Linked DNA regions of Tribolium castaneum. The protein of the gene in region 1 interacts with the protein of each later gene in a biochemical or structural test. Links are inferred from orthologs where the notes say so. Each region holds a gene or a part of one and is shown in the gene's direction. Other genes may lie near its edges. The genes, in order: Uba1, Ubc4 and ubiquitin-conjugating enzyme E2 J2.

Evidence for each region.
Region 2: of the proteins of Uba1 (region 1) and Ubc4, one has a biochemical effect on the other in vitro, tested with the Homo sapiens proteins (9 studies listed by BioGRID, with this or other methods). The link is inferred for Tribolium castaneum from reciprocal best matches to the Homo sapiens genes UBA1 and UBE2K.
Region 3: of the proteins of Uba1 (region 1) and ubiquitin-conjugating enzyme E2 J2, one has a biochemical effect on the other in vitro, tested with the Homo sapiens proteins (2 studies listed by BioGRID). The link is inferred for Tribolium castaneum from reciprocal best matches to the Homo sapiens genes UBA1 and UBE2J2.

What each region holds. Positions count from the first base shown.
Region 1 is NC_087394.1:32,754,641-32,765,451, forward strand, and holds Uba1 (ubiquitin-like modifier-activating enzyme 1), read left to right. Parts: upstream 1-3,877; 5' UTR 3,878-4,229; coding exon 4,230-4,893; intron 4,894-7,318; coding exon 7,319-8,020; intron 8,021-8,070; coding exon 8,071-8,270; intron 8,271-8,634; coding exon 8,635-9,417; intron 9,418-9,519; coding exon 9,520-10,296; 3' UTR 10,297-10,636; downstream 10,637-10,811. Other genes in the region: Klp54D (kinesin-like protein KIF12), read left to right, coding at 234-352, 402-506, 560-683, 1,380-1,602, 1,653-1,838, 1,886-2,011, 2,117-2,288. UniProt on the Homo sapiens protein: Catalyzes the first step in ubiquitin conjugation to mark cellular proteins for degradation through the ubiquitin-proteasome system.
Region 2 is NC_087394.1:31,291,576-31,302,386, reverse strand, and holds Ubc4 (ubiquitin-conjugating enzyme E2-22 kDa), read left to right. Parts: upstream 1-5,473; 5' UTR 5,474-5,829; coding exon 5,830-5,892; intron 5,893-5,953; coding exon of another isoform or gene 5,954-5,975; exon of another isoform or gene 5,976-6,107; intron 6,108-6,136; coding exon 6,137-6,289; intron 6,290-6,338; coding exon 6,339-6,421; intron 6,422-6,467; coding exon 6,468-6,631; intron 6,632-6,679; coding exon 6,680-6,816; 3' UTR 6,817-7,272; downstream 7,273-10,811. Other genes in the region: metallophosphoesterase domain-containing protein 1, read left to right, coding at 1-69, 115-379, 432-658, 1,089-1,216; Prps (ribose-phosphate pyrophosphokinase 1), read right to left, coding at 1,587-1,679, 1,735-2,292, 2,849-2,914, 4,927-5,110, 5,185-5,389, 5,954-5,975; E3 ubiquitin-protein ligase RFWD3, read left to right, coding at 8,949-8,976, 9,031-10,685. UniProt on the Homo sapiens protein: Accepts ubiquitin from the E1 complex and catalyzes its covalent attachment to other proteins. In vitro, in the presence or in the absence of BRCA1-BARD1 E3 ubiquitin-protein ligase complex, catalyzes the synthesis of 'Lys-48'-linked polyubiquitin chains.
Region 3 is NC_087398.1:6,625,409-6,635,674, forward strand, and holds ubiquitin-conjugating enzyme E2 J2, read left to right. Parts: upstream 1-5,593; 5' UTR 5,594-5,900; coding exon 5,901-6,019; intron 6,020-6,065; coding exon 6,066-6,300; intron 6,301-6,347; coding exon 6,348-6,485; intron 6,486-6,537; coding exon 6,538-6,723; 3' UTR 6,724-6,779; coding exon of another isoform or gene 6,780-6,861; 3' UTR 6,862-7,037; downstream 7,038-10,266. Other genes in the region: solute carrier family 2, facilitated glucose transporter member 1, read left to right, coding at 1-122, 169-306; solute carrier family 2, facilitated glucose transporter member 1-like, read left to right, coding at 344-1,186, 1,233-1,445, 1,498-1,704, 1,751-1,888; solute carrier family 2, facilitated glucose transporter member 1-like, read left to right, coding at 2,133-2,267, 2,308-3,054, 3,102-3,314, 3,362-3,565, 3,613-3,744; solute carrier family 2, facilitated glucose transporter member 3-like, read left to right, coding at 3,792-3,890, 3,938-4,429, 4,474-4,737, 4,783-4,995, 5,039-5,254, 5,303-5,434; thialysine N-epsilon-acetyltransferase, read left to right, coding at 7,750-7,830, 7,883-8,305; zinc finger protein 239, read right to left, coding at 8,369-8,474, 8,522-8,798, 8,843-9,578; dnaJ homolog shv, read left to right, coding at 10,002-10,266. UniProt on the Homo sapiens protein: Catalyzes the covalent attachment of ubiquitin to other proteins. Seems to function in the selective degradation of misfolded membrane proteins from the endoplasmic reticulum (ERAD).

The sequences.
Region 1 (10,811 bases):
AAATTATGTGGGGTTTTCGTACAAATCCAATTACAAAACTCATGAAAAAAGTATCTATTTCAATGGTGCATGAATTATAAATAGAGACCTTTTCACTCTTTGCGCTTAAAAGTCAATACCTCGGAAAAGCCAATAATAGTTTAATAACTAATCTCTGAAGCAGTTTGGTATAAACTGTGATCGAATTACTTGTTCTTTAATTTGCTACTCTAGTTGATTGATTTTCTCTTTAGGGTACTGCATATCGTCGTTAAGTGATTCCAAGCGAAGGAACTCGCATATTCCTTATCGAGATTCAAAACTGACCAAGCTCCTTGCAGATTCATTGGCAGGAAATGGCGTAACACTGATGGTAATTTTTTAGGGTTGATTAAGACTGCCTTGCAATAAATCTGTTTCAGATTGCTTGCATTTCTCCTGCCAGATCCAACATCAGCGAGACCCTCAACACGCTGCGCTATGCCGCTCGAGCGAAGAAAATTCGAACAAAGCCTATTGTCCTGATGGTAAATATAAAAGAATTCCCTCGTTGCTTGTAACATATTGTAAATGTCATCAGGACCCTCGAGAAGCGCTCATTCTGAGCCTGAAACGAGAAGTGAATGTCCTGCAGAGCGAAAACGAGCATCTGCGCTCGGCGCTCAACGTCTACTCAGGGTCAACAGCAGGAGATTTACCAACAGGTTGGTTTTTAATTTATAATTAGAACTATTATCAGTTTCTTTGTACAAGTCGCACTAAAAATGCGAGCCTCTGTGGCCCAATGGATAAGGCATCGGCCTCCTAAGCCGAGGATTGTGGGTTCGAGTCCCACCAGAGGTAGCTGCGTTTTTTGCAACTACGGTTTATCAACATTTATTCCTGGCTTTGACGTAGTTGCGACAAAAAATAGATAGCACGCGAGCCGAGCTCCAAGCAGCCGATGTTCAATGAACAAGAACGGAGCAAATTTTAACAATTAATTACTACAAGAACTTTTTAATTTCTTAAATTAGTGAGAAAGTTCAAGAAATTTTGTATGTGTACGATTTTAGTTGAATTTAAATGATGCAGATCTCTAGATTCTAGAATGTCAAATGTTGACCTATAAACTTTCTGTATATTATAGTCTTATCTAATGCTCTCTATGTCCTAGATTAAGAAACATCAGTTATCACTTTATCAGTAGCTCCATTTCGCGCAGCTAATGATTTAAAAAAATATCTGAGACATATTTTTTTCAGTTATTGCAAATTGCACTTAAAATTGACAAAAATGTGTTTTCTTACATTTTTATTTGCAGCGTTTTGAGAGATATCTTATGGAGCGCAATTTTTTTATTTTCGTTTTGTTTTCATAAACCAATTAACTTAGAAATGCACTTGTGTACTTTGCCTCAGAGAGGAGAATAGTGGTAACCCCACCCCACGTGGATTTGGAAAAACTGGCCGAACTCGAAGGCCCCCAGCTCGCCGAACTCGTCCGCTTATACATGACCGAAAACGAAGCTCTCCGACGCGAAAACTCCGAGCTCTACTCTTCCCGCGAAATCCTACAAAGAGACCACGAACTCGTCTGCCGGGAAAACGAGCGTTTACTAAAGAAACTCGAAGAAGTGAACTCGTACGTGCCAAGACCCCAATTCCCAAAATCGATTATAATTTTTATTTTAGTGTATGTTGTAGGTCTCCCCTGATTCCAGCCCGGCCCGCATTTTCCGCCGAACTCCTCAACAGCATCGACTCCGAATCCACGACAAACATTTGGTCGGACGGAGACAAATCTTCACACAGCCGATCGCCCCAACAAATTCCGCAATCGATTCAGAAGGAGTTGGACAAGAGACAAATTAAAACAGAGTACTTGTTTAAAAATATGAGTTTTTTAGCCTAAATAAAAATTGTAGGATTCAGACGCCTAGACGCGGACACCGCAGGAACAAGTCCTTGGAAGAAAGCTCGAGCGATTCGAAAGTAGTTCGAGTGAAAAGCTCCGAGTCAGACGGAGGCCCCGTTCTGATAAATCGTTCCGGGTAATTTGCCTCAAGTTGTACAGTTGCACAAATTTTGTGATTTGAGCGACTGTATTAACTTGCTAGTGCAAAAAGTTAGCTTTTTAACATGAGGTTGTAATTCAGCACTTTCGACTCGAATAGTCCCGAAAGAGAACGCCAACTGGCAGGTAGGCGGTTTTCTGTGGCAAAACCGGACGAAAATGAGCCGTCAATGAATGGAGCACGACGCAAATTAGAGAAGAATTCACATATTTTTGGAAGCGTTATTTCCTTAACGGATGAAGAAGACATTTAATTAATATAGCTCGAGTGATACTGTAGCAATACATAATCTTATTTTAGTACGTTCTCCCATATTGTACCAATAGTTAATTTGAAGACACACTGTAGAATTAAACACTTGGAATATTCAAATTGTTACTATTAAAACAAGGTACAAATATACATTATTTTACTAGAAAATTGTGTTTATTTATCCTAAAATGGTGATTGGTGAAGGTTTCACAAAAATGAGGTAAGTATATCTTACACTGATATTATAGCTTCAGAAAATGTGAATTCTTCTCTTGACACAATTTTAATTGATCATTTTGAATGCAAACGAAATTTGTTATCGACTGACAAAGTAATAGCCATTGTGTTGAAAAAATTGATTAGATTAAACGCATAAATCACTTTATTCATCTAGTCTATTTCATGATTATCCTAAATCTTATCAAACAGTGGGAACTAATTTAATTTTAAAGTGGTGTTGATCGCTGGAAATTATTCCACTCGTGTGAATTTGGTAAGAATTAATTATTGTTGCCCTAATTAGGTACATTAGAAAAACAAATTCTAACAAGTAGTGCAAACAGTAAATTATGTTACCTTGTCACATCGATATAGAGCAAAATGATCATTTTCGTGGTGTTGTCCTTTCTTACAGGAATTTTCGTATGGTTTGTGGGAAAATTATTTTCGAGTAAATCGCTGTAAGTACTTTGTATATTTATTTAGATAAATTTAAGATGTTAAAGTTTACAACTCACACAAAAAAACATTCTAAAAATGAGCCATTGGTTAATTTTCTATTGTAATGCTATTGACAAATTTCGGGCCCACAAAACCATCACAAAAATAAACAATATTTTTGACTTACGTCATACTTGATACCTCAAAAAGGAGAGTGATCTTAAAAATATCTAATTATTGTCATTCAAAACGTGTTCAGGCATAAAATAATGCAAATGTTGCTCATATTTAATCAAAAACCTAGCAGATTAGTCACAAATGTTTATCACTTATCGCAGTTTTCCAGAACGTAGGTATGATTTATAAGTAATTATTAATTGTTATTAGCGAGTGCGGTGACATTATTTAACGATGCAAAATACAAAAAAAAAAAAACGTAAAGAAAGTATTGACCTTCCAAGCTACTGAAATACAAAGTTGAATGATTAAGTGTACAAAAATCGCCCTCCAATTTTGTAAAAACTGCTGCGTGACGGTAATACTTGGAATAATTTTTAATTTTCACTCTTTTTGTACCGTAAAATGCTGCTATTAAGAGTGAAATTTGTTATTGGAATAATTTAAAAAAATATCATTTTCAAACATTTTGACAATGACAATTCGTCAATGCTACAAATCGAAATGCAGGTAATACAAAACTCCCTACATTTTCAATTTTATCGTTTTTTTATGGACACAATGAAGGCAAAATAAAAAACGCATATTTCAGGTGTTTTATAAGACTTATTATCGCAACCATTGGGGCACTCCTCATCGGCACTAATTTTAAATGTGTTAAACACCGCCAGTAATGAGTACAATGGCACCAACAAAACAAATTTAAAAATTGTCAATCATGGCCTACGACGATACGGCCCCAATTTTCCTCCACAACCTTTCAAAATTAACGTAACTGTCAAAACAGATGTTAAAATGTTAAACAGTGTGCAGTCACTTGGGTCGTTTCGGTGCCCCCATTGCTCTGCTTAACAATCAGTGTGAATCTTTCGCGACAATTTCCAATTTAGCGCGTAAGTTTGCAGAATTGTGGGAGTGCGTGAATCACGCATTCCGGCATGCGCATTCGGCCCGTGGTCTCTTTGTTCGTTCGTTGTGCGCCTTCAGCCAGCGTTGTGTCTAAATCCAAGTGAAAAAACCGGCCAATTGACATTGCTATATGGTTATCAGCGCGCAAATTCCTCGATTGACCCGCAACTAATCAAACTGTGTCCTTTCGTGTCCGATGTCTAGTGCTGAAATCGCCGAAGGCTCCGTCGATCCCCCAACTAAGAAGCGGAAGCTTGACTCGTGCCCGATTTCAACCGACATGGCGAACAACGGCGCTTCCGGATCGTCTCAGCAGGACATCGACGAGGGTCTGTACTCGCGCCAGCTCTACGTCCTGGGGCACGACGCCATGCGGCGCATGGCCTCCAGCGACGTGCTGGTCTCAGGCCTGGGCGGGCTCGGCGTCGAGGTGGCCAAGAACGTCATCCTCGGCGGGGTCAAGTCCGTCACGTTGCATGACGAAGCCGTTTGCAGCGTCGCCGACCTCTCGTCGCAGTTCTACTTCACCGAAGCCGACGTGGGCAAGAACAGGGCCGAGGTCTGCTGCAAGCAGCTGGCGGAGCTCAACACCTACGTCCCCACGAAGGCCTACACGGGCCCCCTGACGCCGGACTTCATCCGCAAGTTCCGAGTCGTTGTCCTGACCAATAGTTGTCTCGCTGAGCAGATGCAAATCAGCGAAATCACACATGCCAGTAACATTGCGCTCATTGTGGCCGATACGAGGGGGCTCTTTGCCCAAGTGTTCTGTGATTTCGGGGATGCTTTCACGGTCGTTGACACCAACGGGGAGTCGCCGGTCTCGGCGATGATCGCTGATATTTCCACCGATAAAGAAGGTGGGTACAAAGAACCTAATGGAAGGCATTGTTACACAATGACTAATCTTGACGTTGTACGTCGGGTTATATTGGCAATTATTGTGCAATCAACCTGATCATGTGGCTAAAATTAATCCGATGTTAGAAGTTTGCCTTTGTTTTCCTTGCGATGTGCGAAGGTATGGAGTGAAAATCCCCAAAGGGCACTATATCAGTACTCAAATACCGTATGGTCAAATAAATCTGTCATCCTAATAAATTAAACATAATTCGAGACTATTCATAAAACCTAAAGCCATTTATTGGCTTACCAAAGTAGCAGTCGAATGGCATTAAACTTTGTGTAAATGTTGAGAAAATGTTGTAAAAAACATGTGATTTTATTAAAAATAGATGCTGTACTATCCCTTTTTTCCTCCTGTAAACTACCACTTGTGTGGAGGGTAGGAGGTTGATATTTTGAAGGTGAGCTGTATATTTATTAAAAAAATCTTTAGGTTTGTTAGTTAAATACCGGGTCAAGAAATAACCCACTATTGACTCACCCTGTACTTCAAACAATATCTTACCTAATAGAACAACTTGGTAAGATCAGCTAAAGAAGCACTGCAATCACAAAACTTCTATAATTTTATCTTGATGCAACTTAAATGATCTCCAAGCATTCAGTATTCAACTATTTTATTAAATAAAATAGCTTAAAATAGAGATTTTTTATTTTATTTTTAAACGAAACTTTTTTAAATTCATATTCGATACAGTTCTGAGTAATAATGACACCATTTCATACTAAGATTTATTTAAATGTAAGTCGTCTGAAAACTAGATCAAATATTTTTGATTGCAACTAAGAAAATTTCAGAAATTGATATTGTTGTTAAAGCATAAATTACATTATTGAAGCCACATTTTTTATGGAAACCAAAAGAAAACTCTGTATTTTTTTATTCGAAAATTGGTTTAAACACTTTTCCTTTTCCCATTCTCAGTACAGTAAAGCTTTGTCAAATTTTAGTATCGTAATCTAAAAAGTCTTATTTTGTCAATTTTTTTATGCTGTTGAAAAATTATTATGTCTGTTTTTAATGACCCAAATGTATCAGGACAAATCCAATTTAAATGTTCAATCTTATTTTTATCGATAAAGTGGGTAACACAATGTTAACATGAAAAAAATTAAAAATCTGGGTCTGGGTTAACTGAATTACACATGACACTCGATTTTTTTTTGTAAAATTTGCCTTTTGAGTCAATTGACAGGCAATTACAGGGTAATTCCATTTTTTACGAGATATAGCTCTCCAAATGTTAGATTTTTCGATTAAGTTTTTGGCAGATCATTTTTTCTTGAATTTAGTTAGCAGGAATGACACTAATTGATGATTTACGTTCAAAACAATTAATCAAAGTAGCAAATTTGACAATAAATTCGCCAATATTGGGAACAGAGGCGCAACATTTAAAAGAGTGTCTCAGGAAAAATATTAAAAATTAAAAGTTAAATTATCAGAAAAAAAATCTAAATTAATTTTTAATGTTAGCGGAACGTCTTTGTGGGCTTTTATCATCAAAAATCAACTATTTGGCTATTATTAATTATTATTATCTATTAGGTATAATTTCTTTTCTCTCGATATGTGATATGTTATTCACATTTGGATTATTAATGATCAAGAAAATTAATAGAGTAGTGAAGCAGCTTACTCGTAATACAGTTTTTATTTGATTATATTGGTTTCTGTTTTATTTCATTGCAAAAGCAGCTATTTAATGATCATTGTTGTAACGTCTATAAACAATGGGTTAATGAATTCGTACTATTTTTAGCTTTTCTACAATTGAAAAAAGATGAAATTTGCTCAAAGACCTCTAAAATTAAATTCTTTCAAATCACTAATTTTCTGTTTTTATTACATGTCATCAAAATACGTATAACAAAAAATGCAAATCAATGTTTTGTATAAAGAGTAGGTATTTGTCTACGCAATTCAAAATAACCATAATTGTGTAAATAAAGTGGTCTGCGTTATAAACATTTATTTTCGTCCTAAGCTAAAAACAAATCGGACATTGAGACAGATACCTTAAAAAAATAAAAGATTAGAAAAATGTTGCATCATTTTTTTAGCGCAATTCTGTCGTGAATCTCACTATCGAGAATTTCAATTGATTTTAGATACGTGTAAGGTAAAGGTCATGCGAAACAACGATGCCGTGTAACAAAACTTCTGTCCTTAATAAACATCGATTTAATGTAATGGATATTGTGGTTATAATTTCAATGCCTAAGTCAATACCACATCACATAAGTTTATTGTCGCCAAGTTGAAGATGTAAAATAAATTTAGTTTCCACTGCCATTAAATGTCATACTTTTATAATTTAATGGTCGAAATATGTTTGAAAATGGTGTTTTTTTCAATGATGTTTTTTTTTCTCAAAGGCATTGTGACCTGCATTGACGACACCCGCCATGGCATGGAAGACGGCGACCACGTCACATTTTCCGAAGTCCAAGGAATGACCGAACTGAACAATTGCAAGCCGATTAAAATCAAAGTGTTAGGCCCTTACACGTTCAGCATCGGCGATACGACCAACTTTTCGAAATACGAGCGTGGCGGTATTGCCACTCAAGTGAAAATGCCCAAAACCTTGTCGTTTAAATCACTCAAAGACTCGCTAAAATCGCCCGAATTTTTGATGACCGATTTCGCGAAATTCGATCATCCACAGCAGCTCCACGTGGCTTTTCAAGCGTTGCACAAATACGTCGAAAAGCACGGCCGTGTACCAAAACCGTGGAACAACGAAGACGCATCCGAATTTCTGTCCATTGCTAAATCTTTGGCCGTGGACGGCGGAAACGATACCGAAGTGAACACTAACTTGTTAGAAACGTTTGCGAAAGTGTGCGCGGGTGATTTGAATCCGATTAATGCGACTATCGGTGGTATCGTGGCGCAGGAAGTTATGAAAGCTTGTTCGGGGAAATTTCACCCGATTTATCAGTGGTTGTATTTCGATGCGATTGAATGTTTGCCCACGGAAGCTGGGGAAATTACCGAAGAGTCGGCGGCACCGAAAGGCACACGCTATGATGGACAAATTGCGGTCTTCGGAAGCGAATTCCAGAAGAAATTAGGTGCGTTTTTGTAATTTCTTGGCGAAAAGTTGCTAATTTATTTTTTGCAGGCGGTTTGAAATATTTCGTAGTAGGTGCTGGAGCGATCGGTTGCGAATTACTTAAAAATTTCGCTATGATGGGAATTGGTGGTGAAGGTGGACAAATCACCGTCACTGATATGGATCTTATTGAAAAATCTAATCTCAATCGACAGTTTTTGTTCAGACCACATGATGTTCAGCGTCCCAAATCTGGAACGGCAGCAAAGGTAAAATCATCTTATTGAAACAATTCCGAATTTAATGGTAAAAAACGATAAAAATGGACCGCACAGATGCGTAAACATTCAATTTCAAAGATTTTAAATAACGCGGTCAATTATCTTCGCTAGAGGTTTGTACTAGGTGAGACCATAACAGGCCAACTAAAATTCTCGGCAGTTTTAAATACTGTGATAAGCTGGTTTAATACGTAAAATTATCCGCAGAATTCACTGGAACAAACTGTTTGTCTCTACCACTTTTAGTTTTTAAGTTATTAAATTTTTAATGAGTAACCCGGCGCATCCACCATTTTTGAAGATGAAATTTAAAAATGTCTTTAAATAAAAAAAATCTTTATTTTTGCTACAGGTGATCAAGAAAATGAACCCGAGCATAAACATAGTCGCCCATGAAAATCGCGTGGGCCCCGAGTCTGAAAACATGTACGATGACACTTTCTTCGAGTCGTTAGACGGCGTAGCTAACGCTTTAGATAACGTTGACGCTCGTATCTACATGGACCGTCGATGTGTCTATTACCGAAAACCTCTACTAGAATCCGGAACCTTGGGTACAAAAGGCAACACCCAGGTCGTAGTGCCTTTCCTCACCGAATCCTACAGTTCGTCACAGGACCCTCCCGAGAAGAGCATCCCGATTTGTACCCTTAAAAATTTCCCCAACGCCATCGAACACACTCTCCAATGGGCTCGTGATAATTTCGAAGGCCTTTTCAGACAGAGTGCTGAAAACGCATCGCAATATCTCACCGATCCTGAATTTTTGGAACGTACTATTAAATTACCAGGAGTTCAACCGATTGAAGTGCTGGAATCGGTCAAGGCAGCTTTAGTTGATGATAGGCCAAAGAGTTTTGAAGACTGTGTAGTGTGGGCCCGCCATCATTGGGAGGAACAATATTCAAATCAGATCAAACAACTGCTTTTTAATTTCCCGCCGGATCAAAAAACCAGCACTGGACAGTTGTTCTGGTCGGGACCGAAGAGGTGTCCCGAACCACTCACATTCGATGTGAACAATACCTTGCATTTGGATTATGTTTTTGCAGCGGCTAATTTGAAAGCCGAGGTTTATGGAATACCGCAGAATAGGGATCGGGCTTACATCGCCGAAGTGGTGCAAAAAATTCACGTAAGCCAGCCACTTTAAGCTTTAAAGAAATAAATATGATTTTTTTTTATTAATATCCAATTAGACAATGTTTTATAATATTCTTATGATAATTAATTGCAGGTACCAGAGTTCGTCCCGAAATCTGGCGTCAAGATCGCCGTCACCGATTCGCAGATGGCAATGACGAACGGTTCAAGCGTCGACTTGGACCGCGTTGGCCAAATCAGAGAGGAATTACCTTCGGTCGCCGAACTGGGCAATCTTTGCCTCACTCCACTTGATTTCGAAAAGGACGACGACACAAACCTCCACATGGATTTCATAGTAGCGGCTTCGAATCTCCGAGCCGCCAACTACAAAATCCCTCCAGCCGATCGTCACAAATCCAAGCTGATCGCCGGCAAAATCATCCCAGCTATAGCGACAACAACCTCAGTCGTCGCCGGCCTCGTCTGTCTCGAGCTTTACAAATTAACGAGAAGTTTGAAATCGTTGACGCCGTTCAAGAACGGTTTCGTCAACTTGGCTCTGCCGTTCTTCGGGTTTTCGGAGCCCATTGCCGCCCCCAAGAACGAGTATTGCGGGAAGGAGTGGACGTTGTGGGACCGGTTTGAGGTGGATGGGGAGATGACTCTGAGCGAGTTTTTGGAGTACTTTAAAGAGAAGCACGGCTTGGAGATCACGATGTTGTCGCAGGGCGTGTGCATGCTGTACTCGTTCTTTATGGCCAAAGCGAAGGCGCAGGAACGCCTGGGGTTGCCCATGTCCGAGATTGTGAAGCGAGTGTCGAAGAAGAAGCTCGAACCGCACGTCAAGGCGCTAGTGTTTGAACTGTGTTGTAACGACGCTGACGGAAACGATGTCGAAGTTCCGTATGTTAAGTATAATCTACCTTGAATGGTTGCGTGTTGGCTGCATTCGTATTAGGGCATTTAATGACAGTTATTAGGTGTGCACTAAATTGAACTATTCTGGGTATTTGTCAAATTGTGATCTTGTAAATTATTTATATTTTTTGCAAGCATAACTAGAACACGTGTTCGGTAGGAATTTGTTATTACTTGCCCAGTGATTCTCACTTGATTTTCTATTATTTGTGTTATGGCGAGTGAATTCAATGAGCTAATGCAATATAATCGTACGTATGCTGATACTGGATACATTGTAGGTTCAGGATAGTGTTTATTTTCTTAAATATTTTGATGTGTGAAATTTAATAAATATGTTTTGAACATTACGAGCTCTCCTTATTTCTCCTTTTTTGTACAAAATTATAAATTAAAACTTACTGCAACTGCGTTGGAGTTGGTCATCCTGTATTTTAATTAAATTTCCTGCCATATGGCAGAAGGACGCTGCAAAATTGACCACCAGAAAGCGCAAAAGCCTCAACCTTAATCGTATGTGCAAAT
Region 2 (10,811 bases), about 1.5 Mb from region 1:
TCATCCACGCTGGGGATTTTACGAAATGTGGCCAGAAAGAGGAAGTGATGCAGTTTAATAAATGGCTAGGTGGGTTGTGCTGGAAAATTTATCATTCTATTTGCCTACTTCCAGTATCTTTGCCCCACAAACACAAGATTGTAATCAGCGGCAATCACGAATTGAGTTTCGATAAAAAATTCTCTGATTATTTCAAAAAAACGGCGAGTGCAAGACACACCGGATCACTCGAAGATGAAGTCCCCAATTATGGCAATACGAAAGATAACATCAGTGATGCAGTCAATACTGATAACATCAGGCAGTATTTAACAAATTGCACGTATTTGGAAGATTCGGGGATTGATATTTATGGCATAAAACTGTACGGAACTCCTTGGTAATTTCACGGAATTTACGTAAAACAATAAAATTTGTGTAAATTATTACAGGCAACCTGAATTCGGTGGCTGGGCTTTTAATTTAGAGAGGGGTGAAGAGTGTCTTTCCAAGTGGAATTTGATTCCAAACGATACGGACGTTTTAATAACTCATACGCCGCCTCTGGGGTTTGGCGATTTGGTCTGTTCGGGGGTTAGAGCTGGATGCGTAGAGTTGTTAACGACGGTCCAACAAAGGGTCAAACCCAAATATCACGTTTTCGGACACATACATGAAGGCAAGTTAGTTTACACTCAATCTGTATTTCAACCAATTTGAACATTTATCTAAATTCCAACCTACTTGAAAGTTCAATGTTTGTTTATTGTTCTGCTGTAGAGGTGGATTAAGCGCCTGGCTAATTTCCAAAACTCGATAAGTTTAAGTTAGAAACAACTACAACAGAGAACGTGAATGATAATTGTAGTAGACTTCTAAATTTTGCCGTTCGTCAAAAACTAAAGTGTTAGAATATCCTCCCAGAAAATTGTTATTCCATAACAGTCGTAGGAAGTGTTTCGACGTTTCGATTTTTTAATAAAACTTTGTCAAGGTTTTTTTCTTACAAAATTTCATTAATTAATAAATCAAACCATCGGTAAAAATTCTCTTCAGTTAGGTGCCACCTAGAGAAGAAACTCATTTTACCGCTCCTTTTATTTCGCCAGGTTATGGAGTGTTCTCGGACGGAAAAATCATCTATATCAACGCTTCAACATGTGATATTAACTATATTCCAAAAAACCTACCTATAGTTTTTGATGTTCCTTTACCAGAAGGCCAGTCGAAACACTAGGTTAGTATCAATCGAAAACGCTTTTATAATCTATTTATTGTGTATATTTAAGTTCTTTTATACAAAATAATTTGCAAAAAAATGTATAGAGAAAGCTCGTGTCTTTTATTTCTTGTACAAAAATAAGCCATAATTATATACACTACAAGACCATTTCGAAATAATAAAAAAATATTTTATTGCAAGAACCTAATTGTAATTAGCGTAAATATTATGGCATGCACCTGTAAAGGTCTAAATTATAATTTAAAAAAATATGAATTTGTATCTCATCATCAATTAGTTATAAAGAAATAAAACGAACATCTTCTACATCTGAGGATTTGCAGTACAACCTAACACTTTTATTATTTAAAATAATAAAAATGGGTTAATAAGGAACATTCGAGAATAGGTACGATACTGATTCGCCATTGTGCGTCCTCCTCACCGCCTCAGCGAACATCATGGACACATCAATGCACTAAAAAACCAAACAATCATCAAACTTGTGATTTGTGCCAAATCGCACAACTCACCTGGATTTTCGAACAATCCTTCATATGCCCGTCTTGTGGAATCGTATTAGTGACAACCACAGCCTCAAAGCACGCGTTATTAATCCTAGTTATGGCAGGTCCGGAGAAAATCCCATGCGTCAAAATCGCGTAGACTTTCGTAGCCCCAGCTTCGGTCAACTTCTCGGCTGCGTGGCAGATCGTGCCGCAAGTGTCGGCCATATCGTCGACCAGAATAGCAACCCTGTCTTTCACGTCTCCGACGAGCACCATCGAGGCCACCTCGTTGGCCTTCTTCCTCTCCTTGTGGATGAGGGCGAACTCGACGTTGAGTCTGTCGGCGATGGAGGTGACCCTCTTGGCGCCCCCGGCGTCCGGCGACACTATTATACTGTTCCGCCACTCGACAATGTTCTCCTTGATCCATTTCAACACCGCCGGTTCGGCGTACAAATTATCCACCGGGATGTCGAAGAAGCCCTGGATTTGCGACGCGTGCAAGTCCATGGTGATGATGTGATCGGCCCCCGCCACCGAGAGCATGTTCGCGACCAGTTTGGCCGAAATTGGGGCCCGACTCTGTTGAGCAAAGGTTCAAATTGGCATGCATTGGGCCGAGGGCGAGGGACCTAACATGTTAAAAGCTAAACAAAATTCCCAAGCCACTATCTAGCTAAATTTTCAATTAGTAAAATGACATGTCGGGTTAGTTAATAAGTCTTCGGTATTATTATTATTATCGCATGGTTTCAAGATCATTACATCATTTTTCGGATGATAATTTTTACCCAACAATAAACAGATAAACAAAAGTTGACTTCTGACTCCTGAATGTTTGTTACACGATAATAATGACTATTTCGTCAATGTAAAATTGTTTCACAACAGTACGTTTCCCCTTCGTTTTGTAATCCTGGCATGCAGTTCCGGGAATCATATACAGCGTGTCGCAATTACGCGCCCATTTATGATTTTTTTATTATTATTTGTTAATTGCGACGTATGAACGCTGTGTTTTGTATCAGTGTTATTAACAACGTACAAAGCTAGTCTAACTCTGGCGTAAAAACATGATTTTCAGACGACACTTTCCCAATAAGCCCCTGCAACATTCACAAAATTTAACAATTTTTACCCTGAATTTCCATTCGATTGACTTCCATTTTTCCACGTTGCGTTCGACGTCATTTTTATTCGCAGGCTAAAATAATCTCGTATCAGGTAAGTGTGTATGTGAATGTACGAAGGTGTAAATCTACTTTATTCTAATCGAATGATTTCAGTTAAAATTAAATTTTATTTATGGGAACTACGTTGCATAAGAGAAAAAATTGGAAATTTGTCAACAGAAACATTGAGAATACGAAAAACAGGTGCAATTATAAATAAAAATACACTTTACATAAGTTTCTTTCAACTTTTTAGAAAAAACTTCAATCTCTGTCACGTTAGAAAAAGTCAAGAATCATAATAATTAGAGTTTAATTATTATCACGATAGTGTAAGTAGTTCAACATTATTACATTACTTGATCTACTCTTGAAATATAAAACTATTTAAAGCAATGCATTTTGCTAAACATTCCACTATTATCAGTTTATAAACACACATGAACCCGAACTTATTGACGTATTTCCGACCATTTCAACTATTTTTAAGTTATGCTAATTAGTAATAGATATACAGAATCTTAATTAATTAAGAGAACTGTGGCTAGTTCCTCGCTTAGACGTCATTGAAAGCAAAAGTGGTTTTGCTACACAGATAAGGAACCAATAAAATATTTTTGTTCAAATTACTCAATAAATTGTAATAAACAAATATTTGAGGGGGAAAACAATTAGGGCAGGCCAGTTGGGACCTGCACTAAGAACACCCCGAATTAAAATGATAATATTTTAATGTTACTTAAAATTGCACTTGAAAACTGCCACAAGCAAAGAATTCCATTTACCTGGAACTCTTATTATTTCAAAAAATTACTGAAAGAGATAAAGATATTAAAAAAATCGTGATCAAGTGTATTGTAAATTTTTTTGTAAACGTATGATTTCTCTAAATTCGTTTGCTTAGTCCTGTGACAATTCAAGATAAAGGCGGTTGGGTAGAGCAGTAGAATGATGCACATGAAAAATAGTTTGTTAAAGAAAAATTTGGTCTTTTGAAGGAAAAGTAACACGTAATGTAATTTAGACACGTTTTGAAATCATTATTTCAGTAATTAAAAAAAATTTAATAATTTTTCTCGAAATCTGCTCTTCAACTGTAGACTCCCCACTAGTTTTTTTTATCTTGTTATTATAATACATAGTACCAATCAATCATTTGAATTTATAATTAGAGTAAGTTTTTATGGCTTCTTTTCTTGTATGGCAAGGCTGATTATTATAATTAATAAAACTGAAGAGTCAGTTAATCAAATTTCGAACGGTAATATTTAATTAGACCACGTTTTTGCCTCTAGATTACCAACTACATAAGAAAAAAACGCATACATTCAAATGAGTACATGTTGACAAAAAATCTATTGGCATTATTGAGCTATTGGTCATTCTTCTAATTTGTTTCAGGTGATGGCTAGGCATGGAAGTGTATATTATTTGTATAAAATTTTGAATTTGATATTTAAATACTGGCAAACCTTAATCACACAATCACTTAGTATTTATTATGATAAGAAATAGACTTATTTTTCCACTTTTGTGTCAAGAAAAACATCAATAAAATCTAAAAGTACACAATAATTGTAGTAATAAAAAGTAACAAATTAAAGACTGTCTTTGTTAAATGGATATAGCAAAATCACTTTTAATAGTGCAGTTACATTTATTATGCCTTTGCTAATATTCTAGTAAAAAGCCTTTATGACTATTTAACACATCATAAATCATATATTTCTTAAGCAAAGCAAACATGTTTGAAATACTTAAGTCGCGGCAGTGGCGCCCTCTCAACCACGTGCTCCTTTTGCCGACCTAACGGTAAACAAATTGTTTCAAATTAATAAACTACGTGGTCGGATTGAACTTGTCCAATTATTAAACCAGATGCTTGACTAATTTGTCAGGTCAATAGGAAAAACCACAACCCTAATTGTCCTAAAAACCAAAACTACGGTCTCCACAAACCCGCTTGCAGATGTATACAAAGTCACGTGGCGTCTAGGTTATCTACACATGTGCAGGTACACAATTGGAGCAATTGTGCACTCACCTTGTCCTTCTTGTCTTGCCGAGCGTACGGGAAGCATGGAATGACTGCAGTGACTCTGCTCGCGGACGCAATTTTGCACGCATTTATCATGATGAGGAGTTCCATCAGGTTGTCGTTAACTTCCCCGCTGCCCGACTGCACGATGTACACGTCTTCCCCACGGACGGACTCCCCAATTTCCACGCTAAAATAAAATAATAATAATAAGTCGCAATTTAAGCCAAGTCAATAAGCAAATAATTTCCAAAGCCCACTCACCATGTTTCCAAGTTGCTGAATTTCTTCGTAACCACTTTGCCCAAGTCGATCCCCAGCCGGTCCACGATCCTCTGGGCCAGGTCGGGGTGCGAGGTCCCGCTGAAGACTTTAATGTTCGGCATTCTGCTCTGGAGGATCAACGAAGACTTTTCCAACTTTGCCCGCAACAAGCTTTTAGCACGTACGGGCTGGGAAACGGGCATAACTGCAAAACGCGCAGCCAATCAGAAGCGGGGTCTAATGTTATCGGCAAACAACGCTCCAGAATGATAAACCTTGTGACGAAATACTCCCTGCTTATCGAAGATTTCCGTCGAAAATATCGCCGAAATTGTCAACAGAAATCGCGCGGGGGGGCCCTTACGTCATCGTTGCAGCAGTCCGAGGGAAAATCCCCGAATATTTGCGAGATTTCGGCCGATTTGGCGCGCGCGTAAATTCCGTAAAGTTGGCTATAATGCTATTGAAAACAAGTGACATTTCTTCATTTAGCATTTCATAATTTGCCTAACTTCAGTGAGAAATTAAAAGTGTGAAAATCGATCTTTAGCCAGTGTATTTTTTACTTTTGTCAACAAATCGCTATTTTTTAGAGCCACGGTTTATCTGTTATGTTTTACTGCATTTAGGAACTTCCCCACCAGAATGGCTAACATAGCAGCACAAAGGATACGACGAGAGTTTAAAGAGGTTATTAAAAGTGAAGAGGTAGGAACTTCGCAAACACTGTTTTTCTGTTATGTCATTCTAACTCCTAAACGCCACTTACCGTTCTCGGTTTCCTCGGACATTTCGAATTTTCACACTTGAAATTGTCAGTACACAACGTAAAATATTGATTACTGAAAAATGCCCCCTGCCATAAATTCAAAGCGAAGGGGTTATCACTCCAACGTCATTTCGTAACAATCAACAAACTTGGCTAATACGATCGTGCTTGTTTGAAATTTAGGTAGCAAAATGTGCCATCAAAGTGGAACTCTTAAATGATAGTTATACAGAGCTCAAAGGCGAGATCACGGGCCCCCCGGACACGGCCTACGAAGGGGGCACCTTCGTATTAGAGATTAAAGTACCTGAAACATACCCCTTCAATCCACCCAAGGTACGTTTCAACATAACCAGGAAAAAAAAGACTAAGAGTTTTGTAACAGGTCAGGTTCATTACGAAGATATGGCACCCGAATATATCATCAGTAACGGGCGCTATCTGCTTAGACATTTTAAAGGACCAATGGTGCTTTCTATTACGTGGTAGTATTTGTTATTAAATGAAATTCTAGGGCTGCAGCTATGACGCTGAGGACGGTGTTGTTGTCGCTCCAAGCGCTGCTCTCAGCTGCGGAGCCCGATGACCCACAGGACGCCGTGGTGGCGAAGCAGTTTAAGGAAAATATAGAAATGTTTCAAATGACGGCCAGACATTGGACAAATGTTTACGCAGGCGGTAATTTATGCAGTTTGCAATTAGGACGGCGTGACGCTCTGTTTGCAGGTCCCCATGTAAATAAAGAATGTGACGATAAAATAAAAAGGCTAGTTGATATGGGAGTGGAGGAGCACCAGGCGCGGGTCGCTTTGTCGTCGTATAACTGGGATATAGAAAGAGCAACTGAACAGTTATTTAGTTAGTGAACTATTTTAATCCGCCATTTTACTATATTCTCTCTACACTTTTCCAACAGTTGGTTATGAAACGCAGTTTCATTTTCTACCCAATAGATTACTGACTTAAATTATTTTGAAGGTGTACAAGATGAATAAAAGGATTGTTTGCATTTACCTTATGTCTCAGTAATCACTATACGAAAGTCTTGTTTTGGCTCTTGCGAACTAATTTCAACTTTTGTCAATATTGGTGTTTGAAATTTATTGATGTTACTGATGCTTATCGTTAGTTCTTTCGAGTACAAAGTCTTTCAATTAATTACGGTTTATTCTTGCTAGTGAAAACCACCAGATTAGTTTTTTAGCACTTCAAGTATGGTAATTGAATGAAATGCTTTGTATAACCACTTTCCAATTAGTTACTGTTTTTATTTGTAAATCGGCGATTGAATACTGTTAAAATAAAATTTTAATCTTGAATATACAGGCACTGAGGTGAGTTACAACCCTAAGACAATCCACGTCCATTTGAAACTCAAATACTCCATGAAAATAAAAGTTGCGCATTAACTCTTAATTTATGCACTGATTATGCAACAGATTTACATAAGTAGCACCACGAAAGGTCGAGACTCCTTCGGTACTATTTCAAAATAGATTTAAATTCAATTACAATCACCTATTATTAGTCCAGTCATTGAATAATTTCAATGGTCCAGTCAAATAAGCCTGTAAATCGAAATGTTCAAAAGCTCGCTTTTTTTATATAAGTTACATGGAGCAGTTAAAAACGTTTAGACAAAGAATTTTTTAGTTGAAGAAACGAAATTAAAGCGTTTTTTACAGATTATTCAAAATCGCTGAAAGCTAGAAAAAAAAGTTTTAAACAAAAATTGTAAAGCCGAAAATTTTGCATAAAAATGTTCACTTGACTGTTTTTGATATTAATATTAACAGAAAGTTAGGGCGGTTAAAATAATATACATATACTGTAAAATCTTGTCATAACACTTGAAAAAAAGGTTGTTTTTTGTTAGTATTTTGGCATCGCTGCGAACATCTTTAGCTTTTTTTGCAAAATTTTTATGAAAACCTATTCAAATTACACCAAAAATTAAGGGTTTCTAGTCTTTTATAAGCAAGAATTCCTAGGAAATCTGGGCTTATTTTCGACCAAAAAAGAAGAAAAATTGGCGGAAAATGTATGGTTTTTCCCGTTATCTTAATTTTTTTATCTAATTAACATGTTTTAGAAATTTTTCGAAAAAACGAAGATTTTCGGTAGTTTTTATTCGAAAAAAAAAATCAGGTAGATACATTCTGTGTTTTTGGTGGCAACTTAAAACATATATAACAGGACATAAGTGTAAAAACCTAAACCCGTCCTGGCTAAATCAGGACGGTTGGTAACCTTAGATTAAAAGTAATTTGTTAATTTATCATTTTTAGAAATATGCTGCGATTTCACCTCGAGCAGATTTTGCGGTAATTTTATATTGTAATAACTGTGAGTGTTCCAGATATTGAAATGATTCTTACATGAAAAACTTATTTAAGTTATTAACTTCATTTCATATCGAAAAATTCATTACACAGGACGTTACAAGAAAATGTAATTTTTAGTTTCTTTTTATCAAAAGTCAACCTTGTGTAAATACGTAAAACTGCATTATTTACGGTGGAATCTTTTACAAAAAAAATAAATTTCTAGCTTTATCCAGAAAGAAGATACGGGATGTAATCGCAAAATTTGTCCAATGTTAGGTTTTTGTAAATTTTTACTAAAAAGTCTTTTTGACCCCTTCTCGGGAGTTGGAACAACCTTTGTGACTCCACAGTAATATAAAAAACGCAAGTTTTTTCCAACTTTTCGATTTAAAGGCTTATTTGACTGCCAGCAGGGAGGAAGTTCATAATCGTGAATTATTTGTATTTTTTATTTTTATCAGTTATCAGATGAGTTATTTTTCACTTAGTGGTTACGAAAAATCCGCAAAAACATTTCCGTGTGGTTATTTTTGCGTAAAAATCTTATGCAAGGACGTGAAGGTCGTTGACGTTGAAACGTCCTTGAGTTTGACGTCGCCATTTGACATTGACAGGATAGTTTTTTGAGGTTAGGTTGTAAATTTATTTGAAAAAAAACCCAAAAAGTAATGAACTTGGATGACTACAACCACGGAGGTAACCATAAACTCGTTATTCCGTGCGAATTATCACACAAGTCAACCGTTTCAGAAAATGAGATGGAAGTTGAAGGCTCTGAGGACTACCCCTTGCAGATAATCTCCCCGCGCGTGGAGGAGATCCACCCCTTAGCATTAGTAGCAATAAACGTAGATAATAACGAGCCCCCCGCCACCTACAACGACGTGGGGTTCCCCCTAGTGCCACAAGCCAACGAAATCGAAAGACTGTCCCCCACCGAGTCAGTGGCGAGCACCCCCCAGACCTTCGACGAGGAGAGCAACCAGTCGCGAAAGCGCACCTTCGAGGACGAGGAGCGCGAGGAGGACGGCTCCGTGTGCCCCATTTGCCTGGACGAGTGGACGAACACGGGCCCCCATCGGATATGCGCCCTCAAGTGCGGGCACCTGTTCGGTGAGCAGTGCATCACCCGGTGGCTGAACCAGAACTCGCGCAAAACGTGCCCGACCTGCAAGGAGAAGGCGCGCCGCCACGACATTCGCTACATTTACGCCAAAAAACTAACAGCAATTGATACAACTGAACTGGACAATATCAAAAAACAGCTGGACTCGGTGACCGAACAGCGCAACAAGTTCCAGACTGAGTTGGCCACGTGCGCCTACCGCGAGCAGTTGCTGAGGCAGGAGATCGCCCAGCTCAAGACGCAACTGAGGCAGAACAATGTTCCTACTTTCAACCAGCCCATGGTGGAGCGCGTCAAGCTGTACATGGACAAGGCGATGGAGATTTGCAAATTCGGCGGAAGCCGGGTTTTTGACGCGCGCTGCGAGCTGGACCTGCTCATGGCTTCGATGAAGTCGCCCACGAATTTGTTCGCCGGGTTCGGCTTGAAAAAAATAAACATTTCGGGGTACAGAACAATCGCGTTCATTCCAGTCCATACGTTGCAAATTAGAGACATTTGTTTCCACAAGGAACAGAACTGGGTGCTTACAGCGTCCATGGACAAGACCTTTAAGGTCATAAACAACCACGAGAATTCGGTTGTCCACCAATTCACCCATCAAATGCCCCTCTGGTCATGCTGTTGGGACGAAAACAACCCATACGAGCTATACGTAGGGACGCAAGCTGGGTCGGTTATAAAATACGACATTCGGCAATTAACCGAGGCCGTTTGTACCTTTTCCATAGAAGGGGACATGTCTCCGGTGGTTTCAGTCGCGTCGATCCCGGCAGCCCCGGGCGAAGCCCTGGCGCAAGGGGGCGTCGTGTCCTGCAAGTTGAACTCGCTCTGGCTGTACGAGAACGCGAATGGGGAGTACAAGAGACACCCGATTTCCTTAGAGGGACCATTCGTTTCAATGAAATACCAAACAAACACAAAGCAATTGTTAGTGTCTTCTAGGCCCAATAGTCGAATTACGTACGCGAGGCATACTTTAAGTACCTTGGCGAGGAATGAGGGGAAAATTGACTGCAATATTCTGCACACGTTTCAAGGGGGCGGCATGCAGAAGTTGCTATCAAAGTCGTGTTTTTTGTCGCATACGAGTGATTACGTTGCTGCCCACCAGGAAAATTGCAAGAGTGTGTTCTTGTGGAGCATCAATACGGGGCAAAAGGTTTGCTCCGTGACGGCGCACGAAAGTGTTTTCGATCTGAAAGGGTTCCAGAATCAAAATGGTAGTTTTCTGGTTTCGTTGACTGATAAAAAACTCGAGTTTTTCAAATTTGCTTAGGCGGTTTTTAAAGTTTAAGTATTAAGTATTAGGTACACTCTTCAATTTTGTTACGGATCACATTTTGACCATACGATTTTCAATAAATTATTTATTTTTTTTACACATCGGCAAGTTTTAATCCTC
Region 3 (10,266 bases), on another chromosome or scaffold:
TTCCCTTGTTCTTCACACCCGAGTTGTTCTCCAATTCAAACCGCACCGTCGCCACGTGTTTGGCATCGGTGAGCAACTGGGCAGCGAGTTTCGTCCTGGGACAAGCGTTCCTAAGCCTCGATGTATAACATTAATTTAACGCAAAAAAATACAAAAAAGTGGTTTTAGAACGAAATCGACTTTTACGACTGCTTGGTTTTCCTGTTCTTGGACATTTTTTTCTTCTTCTACATCCGCCTCCGCATGCCCGAAACCGCGAAACTGAGTTCAATCCAAATACTCAAAATGTACAACATTGAGGAATAAACTGTAACTAGAATTTTTGTTTTACTGACACCTGTCAATGAGTCTGAAAATCTACTTCGCGATCCTCGTCGTTAGTGCGGCTTCGGGCTTCCAGCACGGCTATCACTTCGTTATTATTAACAACCCGTCAAAGGTGATACAGGAATGGATCACGGAACTGAAAACGAAAAAGGAAGGGGTAGCTCCGACTGCAGCCGGAGTCGACCTGATCTGGGCCGTTGTCGTGGCAATTTTCTCGGTTGGGGGAGCAGTTGGCGCGTTTATAATCGGGATCTTCGCGGATAACTTCGGTCGGAAGGGTAGTCTCAAGTGGAACACTTGTCTGGTCCTGGTGGCAGCGGCCATAACACTCTATTCCAGGAGAGCAAAGTCGTATAAAGTGCTTCTCTTCGGCCGCTTCCTGTCCGGAATCACCTCGGGGTTAACCTCCGGTTTGTGCCAAATGTACTCGGTTGAGATTTCGCCGGATGAGATCCGCGGCGGGCTCTCTGGGGTCTACCAAGTCGCGATTAGCTTTTCGATGCTTGTCGCTGCGATCGCGGGAATTGTCTTCTCGGAGAAAGAAACGTGGCACTATATTTTCATAATACCCATAGTACCGGCAGTTTTGCAACTTATTGCTCTACCGTTCTGCCCGGAATCGCCCAAATTCCTCTTGATCACTAAAGGCAGCGATGCCAAAGCCGAGAAGGCGCTCAAATGGCTGCGAGAGAGCGACGATGTTGCGGAAGAGTTAGAGTTGTTGAAAGAGGAGGATAATCGGGTCAAGCAATTACGGGGATCCTCTCTGAAACGTATTCTGAGCAACCCCGCCATGACCAACGCTTTGATTTGCTGTTTAATTTTGAATATTTCGCAGCAAATGTGTGGCATTAAAACGGTAAGTTGGATGATTACTTAAAGTTTTCGCCATTTCTGCGTTGAAGGTAATTCAATTCTCGACCCCGGTTTTTGAAGAAATGAATCTGGGACCAAAAGTGGCCTTGTATATCACGGCAGGAATGTTCATACCTCTGCTAATTACATCGATAGTTTTCTGTTTTATTATCGATAAATACGGACGACGTAGAATGGCAGAAATTAGCTTAATAGGCCTGATTATAACAACAACTTTCCTTTTTACTTCTCTGTACTTGAGAGTGAGCATTTTTATTTGGGTAAAATCAAAAATCATGTTTTAAAATCCAATAGAGAAAAATTGTACCAAGCATGAAGTATGCGGCTATTGTAGGATACTTCGTATTCAACGGGTTTTATTGCATCGGTATTGGCCCCTTGGGATGGTTTGTCCCAGCTGAGATGTTCTACCATTCATCCCGGACTGTCGCAGTTTGTTTATCAGTTGCATCAAACTACATTTCAAGTTTTATAATAGGGCAAGCGTTTTTCATTTTAAAGGTAAAACAAGCCCCTAGTCAAAGCATAATCCAGGAATTAATTCTAGAGCGAAATCGATGCATACACCAGCCTCATATTTATTGTTTTGGACATATTCTCGCTTCTTTACATCCAGCAACGCTTACCCGAGACGAACCAACTTAGTGCATTAGACATCCTCGATATGTACACCTTTCCACAATAAATTATCCCCAAAAAATCTCCAAGATTATTTTACCCGAACAATTACCCTGTTTCCCAAAAAAATCTTTGAGGGAAAGTACCACCAAAAAAAAATCTCTCAATGAGAAAGTTTTATTACAAATCTTCAATACGCCATTTTGATGCTATCCAACAATGGTCTAAATCCCGGCCAAACTCCCTGGAAACACCCCAACTGTCCAGACCGACCCAGGCCTCCCAGTAATAAATTATTTGTCACATTTGACATGGTGCGTGTAAAAACGCACCTCCAAAGAGTTTTCTCAGTATTTTGCTCCAAATTCATTTTCGCGGTTATCGTCGCCAGTCTTTCAGGCTTCCAGCATGGCTACCACCTTGGCATTGTCAACATTCCGGCTGAAGTGAGTGTTTCCCACGAACTGGCCAACAACCCGATTGTAGGTCTTGCAGGAGTGGATCCGGGAAGTGGCAATTAACCGCAAGGGAGAACCCGCAACTGAAGGTTTCATCATGGTGTTTTGGTCAACTCTCGTTGCCATTTTTTCACTTGGGGGCATTGTCGGGGGCAGTTTGACGAACCTCTTCGCTGAGAAATTCGGCCGAAGGAATAGCTTGTTGTGGAGCAATGTTTTAGCTCTTTTAGGGATTGTTTTCCTTGTCTATTCCAAAGTGTCCGAATGTTACGAATTGCTCGTTGTTGGGAGGTTTGTCGCGGGAGTGAACGCCGGGTTAAACTCGGGGCTTTGCCAAATCTATTTGATCGAAATCGCTCCCGATAAAATCCGGGGGTTTGTTGGGGGGTTCTACCAGTTAATTATCGCAATGTCTATTTTGATTTCGCAAATAATGGGAGCGGTTCTGGGAGACGATGAGCAATGGCCGTTTATGTTTCTGGTCGGTTTTATACCAGTTTGCCTACAGTTGTGCCTTTTACCGCTATGTCCCGAGTCCCCTAAGTATCTTTTCATAACGAAAGGCGACAAGGAGGGAGCCGAAGCTGCCCTGGTTTGGTTCAGAGGCACTAACAACGTTTACAAAGAAATGTACAAACTCAAGGAAGAAAACAATTTGCACAAAAGTGTAGACGATGTGAATTTGGGTAAATTACTGTGTGATATTTCCTTGAGGAGCCGTTTGGCTGTCTCTTTGATTATAAATATTGGACAACAGCTGTGCGGACTCAACGCTGTAAGTGATAAAAACCCAATTTTGTCAATAATAAAAATCGTTTCAAGCTGATTTATTTCTCGAACGAGATATTCAAGAATATGGGCATGTCGGAAGAACTGGCCACCCAAACGACCATTGCCATGGGTGCGGTGAATGTTGTGGTAACCCTGTTGGGTATTATCTTCGTGGATTGCATCGGTCGTCGCATTGTCTTACTTGTCGGTTTCCTGGGGATGGGTATAAACACGTTACTTTTGGGCATAATCCTAAATTTAGGAGTAAGTCTTTTCGAATTTTGCCAAAAAAATCCCTCTTTTCCCACTAGAAAATTGCAAGTTTTATCGACTATATCGCAACAGTATTGGTTTTTGTTTTCGTAATTCTGTTCGCGATGGGCGTTGGTACAATACCATGGTTCTTGACTGGTGAAATTTTCAACCATACCCCTCGCTCGATTGCGGTGACCATAACCGTCAGCAGTAACTGGTTGTTTAATTTCGTGGTGGCCCAAACCTTTTTGCCCTTACAGGTAACCATCCCGATCCCAAATTCCGAAAAAAAATTGTTAAATTCCAGAGCGTCATTGGGAATTACGCGTTTCTAGTTTTCGTCGTCTTTGACTGTTTCTTTTACTTCTTTACTGTTCTGCACCTCCCGGAAACAGCGCGTCGTTCCGCCAAAGAAATATTTGAAATTTATTACGAATAAACTTTTAACCTAAATTGTCATTTGTTTCAATCAAAAGTGACATCGAAATGGAAAGTCTTGTTAAATTTCTTTTTTGTGTGGTAACAATTGCAGGTTCGGGTTTTGTTTACGGCTTCCACACAGGTTTCCTCAATATTCTCTCAGCGGTAAAACATGATCCCCGGTGGAAAACCGAATAGAACGGTTCTTTTAGACACTGATGCAATGGTATGACGACGTTTCAGACGAGCGGCTCGATACAAAGCAAATTAAGGAGCCCTTAAACCTGGGAGCTATTCACGCTTGGGTCACAATTTCCTTTTCGATTGGAGGCGTGATCGGAGCTGCCCTTATATGGCCCTTCGCCACTTACCTCGGCCGAAAACTATCTCTTTTCTGCAGTAACTTAATAGTGGTGTTTGCGCTTATCATCGTGAGTTTTGTCAGTCCTTCAAGCACTTTCGAATTGCTGATTTTCGGAAGAGTCCTTCTGGGTGTGTCGGCCGGAATTAACAGTGGAATAGGACCAATGTACTTGGTCGAAATCTCGCCTCACTGCCTGCGAGGCTTTGCCGGGAGTTGTTATTACCTGATTGTGGCTTTATCAATTTTCATGGCTTATGTTTTCACCCATCCTACGATAATGGGGGAAATCGAGACGTGGTCTTATGTTTTTGTCGTGTCGGGATGCCCGATTATAATTCAGGTAAAACAGTGGTGTTTTAGAATTTGAAGAATGCTTCTTTTAAGTCTATAATGCTTATATTTTGTCCCGAAAGCCCCAAATACCTCATGTTCGATAAAGGGGATGAGGATAGAGCCGAGGACGCGGTAGCGGACATTGAAGGGGAAGAAATCGACGAAGAAATGGACGATTTGAGGGAAGAAATGGCCCTTTTGGACGAAATTGGACCAGTGACAATAGAACGGCTGTTCAAAGATGAGACTTTGAGGAACCCTTTAATAATCTCGGCTGTCGTCATGTTGGGACAACAAATGACAGGAGTTACCTGTGTAAGTGGGCAAATTTTTTGAACATATTTTAAACCGTGCCCTTAGTTGTTGTACTTTTCGTGCGTAATTTTCGAACACCTGGGCTTCGACGATTTCAAAGCCAACGCAATGGCTCTAGGTCTAGCTTTCGTGAACTGGTTTTGCGCCCTTGTGTGCGTATTTGCGGTGGACAAAGTGGGCCGCAAGCCTCTATTGCTGGCTAGTTATTTCGGTATGGTGCTAACAGTGTTTTGTTTTACTCTCACGATGATTCTAATGGTGAGTGATTGGGAAAAAATACAATTCTTCATTTCATTTTTAGTCAATTTCAGTGCGACCTAATCAAGCCATTGACACAATCGCCGTCGTTCTGATTTATCTATATGTGATGTTTTTTGCGCTTGGCGCTGGTACCATTGGGTGGTTCTTTACGGCAGAAATTTCGAACCATTTCGCCAGACCCATCACCGTTTCTATGACGGTGATGTTGTACTGGATCGTCCAACTTATTTTTGTTGGGTGCTTTTTACCTTTTTGGGTACCACGTTGGCGAATTTGGGGCAATTTATTAACGAGTTTTTTTTAGTTCATGATTCACACTTATACGTTTTTGTTTTACATTATATTCGATATTGCGACAGTTGCTTTTCTCTTACTAACGCTAAGGGAAACCGCAATGGTGCCTAGTGTCGATATCACGGAAATGTTTTATGATTAAACTTTTCGCCGATGTCACTTTTGAAAATAAATTTTTTAAAAAAACCTCACGATGATTATTTTACATGGGAATCCCCGTTCATGTGCCGCATTGTTGGTTGCCTACCCCACGGTGATAAATGATGAAATTATCAAATTTTTAGTACGGTTTCGTCTTTAAATTATTTATTTATTTAGCTTATGATTACTTGTGGGCCTTTGTAAAATTCTGTTTGGCTTTTTTGGCAGAAAAGTGTTACGTCAGATGTTTTCGGGACAGTTCACTCTCACGTCATTTGTCGCTTTACCAATTTTTCGGAAAAACTCAAAAAAATCACTTGTTGTTTATCACCGCCCCGCGCCCCCGTCCCATCCTCTCGACTTTGATTGATTACGTGCCCCGAGCGATAAACACAGATAAGAGGCACAAATTAAGTACGTTTTGAGTGCTCCTAACCTCACTTTCAAGAATGTACAATTAGTTGAAAATGTCGAATCGCAAGACAAATAGTGCCACTTCGCGACTCAAACAGGACTATTTGAGGCTGAAACGTGACCCCGTGCCCTACATTACCGCCGAACCTCTACCCTCGAATATCCTGGAATGGTGAGTGCTGAGGCACCCAAAAGGTTTGTTTTCGAGCCAGTTTTAGGCACTATGTGGTGTGCGGGCCGGAAAATACGCCATATGAAGGGGGCTTCTACCACGGGAAGTTGGTTTTTCCGCGCGAGTTCCCCTTCAAGCCCCCTTCTATCTATATGATAACGCCTAATGGGAGATTTCGGACTAACAAGAAGCTGTGCTTGAGTATATCGGACTTTCATCCAGATACGTGGAATCCGGCGTGGAGCGTCTCCACAATACTCACAGGGCTTCTCAGTTTTATGGTAATGAACTATTTCCCAATGTACTTTTTCGTAATTTTTTGGTTTAGCTTGAAAAGAGCCCCACTTTGGGGAGCATAGAAACGTCAGAGTACGACAAGCGGCAGTTTGCCTACCACTCGCTTGAATTCAATCTCAAAGACAAGGAGTTTTGTGATTTATTTCCAGACACAGTTACCAAAATCCAGGTTTGTATCTGGTTATGGGGGCTATGCGATGTTTTGACCTTTGTTTAAATAGGACGTGCTGACGCAACGGAGTAACATGAATAATAACGTGGCAGAGAACCAGAAAACCTCTCGGTCAGTAGCAGAACCCAGCAATTTCCAATCATGTATTACTAATTTGATAGTATTTATTGGTGTTGCTGCATTTGCGATTACGGTAAAATACGTAGTAATAACAACGGCGTCTGAAGCTGAATAGGGTTGATAATAGGGTTGAAAAAGTCACATTTTAAGTTTACTTTTCTTTGGTTTTAGTTTTCGCAATTGTCAAGAACGGCGCAGGATATTTAATCTTTGTAGGAAATTTAAGAGACTTTTTTCTAGAGCACACGTTTAGGGTTCTTTGTAGTTTCAGCTGAACTTTTTTACTTAAAACATTATCAACAGTTAACGAACCTAAATCTCTCAATGTAAATAACTTATGTAATATATCATAATCCTAGTATTATTGTTATTAATATTTGTATCATAATACATATTGGTTGTAATGATGAATATATTTTTTCCCATTTTTCCAAGTGTTTCATTTCACGCACCTATCACTTATCAAGCAAAAATTTGTTCAAATGCGTTGTTACTTCAAGATGTAATTGATGAGTAATAACAGGTGTTTGATATCCAAAAATCGTAAATGACTAATCGATAAAATAAAAAAAACAAAACAAAGCTGACTCAATTTACTACTCCACAAATCAAACGTTCATTGAAGTAGGAAAGTCCGCTTCAATTTTATATTCCGGAAATAGGCATAAGGCAGACAAATAGGAAACAAAAGAATGAAAATCGAGCAAATACGCTCGAAAAAAAAACACGAATATATTGAATATATTGGTATTTTCGGTTCAAAAGACTTACATTTTAAGCCAAAAACCTGCTGCAAAGCTTAGAAAAAACACCATTTTTGACCTTTCGTGGTTTACGAATGAGTTATTTGGGTTGCCTACACAAATTTTTATCAGTTGATCTCGTTGATCCTATCCACAGATCATTTCTCAATTTTTTTTATTAATATTGTTAGGTGAAAGTAACTAATTGTAATATTCTTATTAAATTACTTTTTTCGATTAATGGTCAGTTACAGCATGAATTCACAAAATCTGTAGTACTATTTATATCTCAATAAAATTGTATCTAATTGTCTCAATTACATTTGTGGATTCCAGACGTCATACCTTATCTCTGTTAACACACATTTGCTTGAAAAGTGTCACTTCATCTCTCAAACATGCTGGACTGTTCTGAGATTAATGTAACTATAAGAAAAGCCAAAAAGGAGGATATGATCCAAGTCTACAAACTAATCAAGGTATTATTTAATTAATTTTTAACCCCTGGCAATGCGATATCGCATTTTTCAGGAACTTGCAGAATTTGAAAAACTAGAAGACCAAGTAAAAATTGACGAAAAAACCTTGATTAAAGACGGGTTTGAGACCGATAATCCAGTTTTCACGTGTCTTGTGGCAGAAATCTCAGATGGACACTTAGTCGGATATGCATTGTATTACACGTCTTACTCGACTTGGTTGGGAAAATCAGTTTTCCTTGAAGATTTATACGTCCAACCCGCATACAGGAAAATAGGAATAGGGAAACAGTTATTTATGGCAGTGGCCAAAACCGCACATGAATTATCTAGCAAAAGATTAGATTTTCACGTTCTCTCCTGGAACCCTGCCATAGACTTTTATAAAAGTTTGGGCGCTGAAAATTTAACAGTTTCCGAGAAATGGCAGCTTTTTAGACTGAATGAGCAGGCTTTGAATAAAATGTTTTCGTAAAAATTAACAATTTATTAGAACACGTTCAAACAATTCACTATTCTCTTGCCAAGTGATAACAAGTTATGGTAATGATAATGGGTCTGTTGGGTGCACCTTGTGGTGGACACTGAGCAGATGCTCCTCTAGTTTCATTTGACCGTTGTACACATTATCACAAATCTGGCACCTAAAAATAAAATTTAACCACTGTCCCCGTTTTTCACCATAAATTACTGGTATGTTTTCTTCTTGGAAACCCCCAAATGCAGTTTTTCATGAACAGCCAAGTTGTACTTTTCCGCAAACTTTTTCCCACAAGTGCCACAAGAAAATTTCTTCTCGCCAGTATGCACCCTCATGTGTCTTTTAAGGTGTGACGCTGATATCAGCAAAAAGCCACAGACGTCACATTTGTACGGTTTTTGCCCAGTGTGAGTGATTTTATGAATATTGAAGGAGGTGTGGTGAACGAATCTTTTACCACACGTATCACATTGAAACGGTAGTTCCCCTAAAACAACCAATCATTTCCTAGCAAAAAACAAGCGTCCACACCTGTGTGGATGGGTGTGTGCCTCATCAAAGCCCCCTTCTGCGTGAATGATTTGTTGCAGTAGACACACGTGAAGGGATTGATCCCTTTGTGCATCCCTACGTGGATTGTTAAAGCTTGTTGGCGCTTGTACGCCTGGCCACAAATTTCGCAAATGTAGGGACGTTCCTTGCTATGCGCCGACATGTGATTTTTCAGTTCCGTTGGCGTTTTCCAGGTTTTGGAACACTGAGTACATTTATAGGGTTTTGGATCCGTCCCATCCTTCTGTTTTTTCTTCACACTTTCACTTCCCGCTTCTTTCGTAAACAAATCCAGCGTGGACTGAATCTCAGACACCGAACTGAGATCATCAATATTAAAACCTGTCTCCAAATCATGCGTCTTCAGGTGATCCTTGAAACTCGCACCGGGGATTTTTTGACCACACATTGTGCATTCCTCGCTTTTATTGCTCGCTTCTCGTTCAATGTAGTTTTTGTTGGGGCAGTGTTTACGCAAATATTGTTTAAACTTGTTTTCGATGTTCCTTGCTCTAACTTTAATACTGTCTAGTTCATTCAGGAGGCGATAACACATCTCGCAAACGAAATAATTTGTTATGCAAAACTCTTCCTCAGCGCAGTCTTGGAGCAACATCAACAGAGGGGTTCTTGTATCGTTGGAGACCGATTGTCGGAGATCGAAGTGCAGAGTTTCGACAGGACACTCGCACAACGTGCACAGTGGTTGAGCCATTTCAAGAAATCGGCTTAACACCAAGCACCACACCACCACCAATTTTAATTTGAAAAAAATGTATTCACTTGTAAGGTTATGTTTTTGTTTATGTCAACTGTCATCACCCCAAAAAAATATTTGTTACTTAAATCCTCCGAATAGCTTCCTGGTTATGTCAAGAAATAATAACCAGCACGTATTAAGCCCAATTTGCGTTATTTTAATGCCATTTCAATTACTTTTTGCACATTTTTATTGTCAATGTCAAGTTGGTTGCCTAAATCGACCTAATCAAATGTCAGTCGGGGAATTAAATCCACCAATCAGCGCAATCCACATGTTTTGAGAAGGTCGTTTCGTGTTTCTCGCTGTGTGAGCATAACGATAAAAATCCATTAATTAAATTAATATTAATATAATGTTTGAAGTTTTTATCCAAAAATGAACGTGAACTCTGTGCCCGTCTTGCTTTTACTGACTTTCATTTCGGTAACCTCAGTTCTAGCAGGGCGAGACTTTTACAAAATACTGGGTGTCTCAAAAAGCGCCAGTTTGCACGAAATCAAAAAGGCCTATCGTCGCCTAGCCAAAGAGCTGCACCCTGACAAGAACCAGGAAGATCCGGAAGCCTCCCAAAAATTCCAGGACCTGGGGGCCGCCTACGAAGTCCTCTCAGACGAGGAAAAACGCAAGAAGTATGATAGAT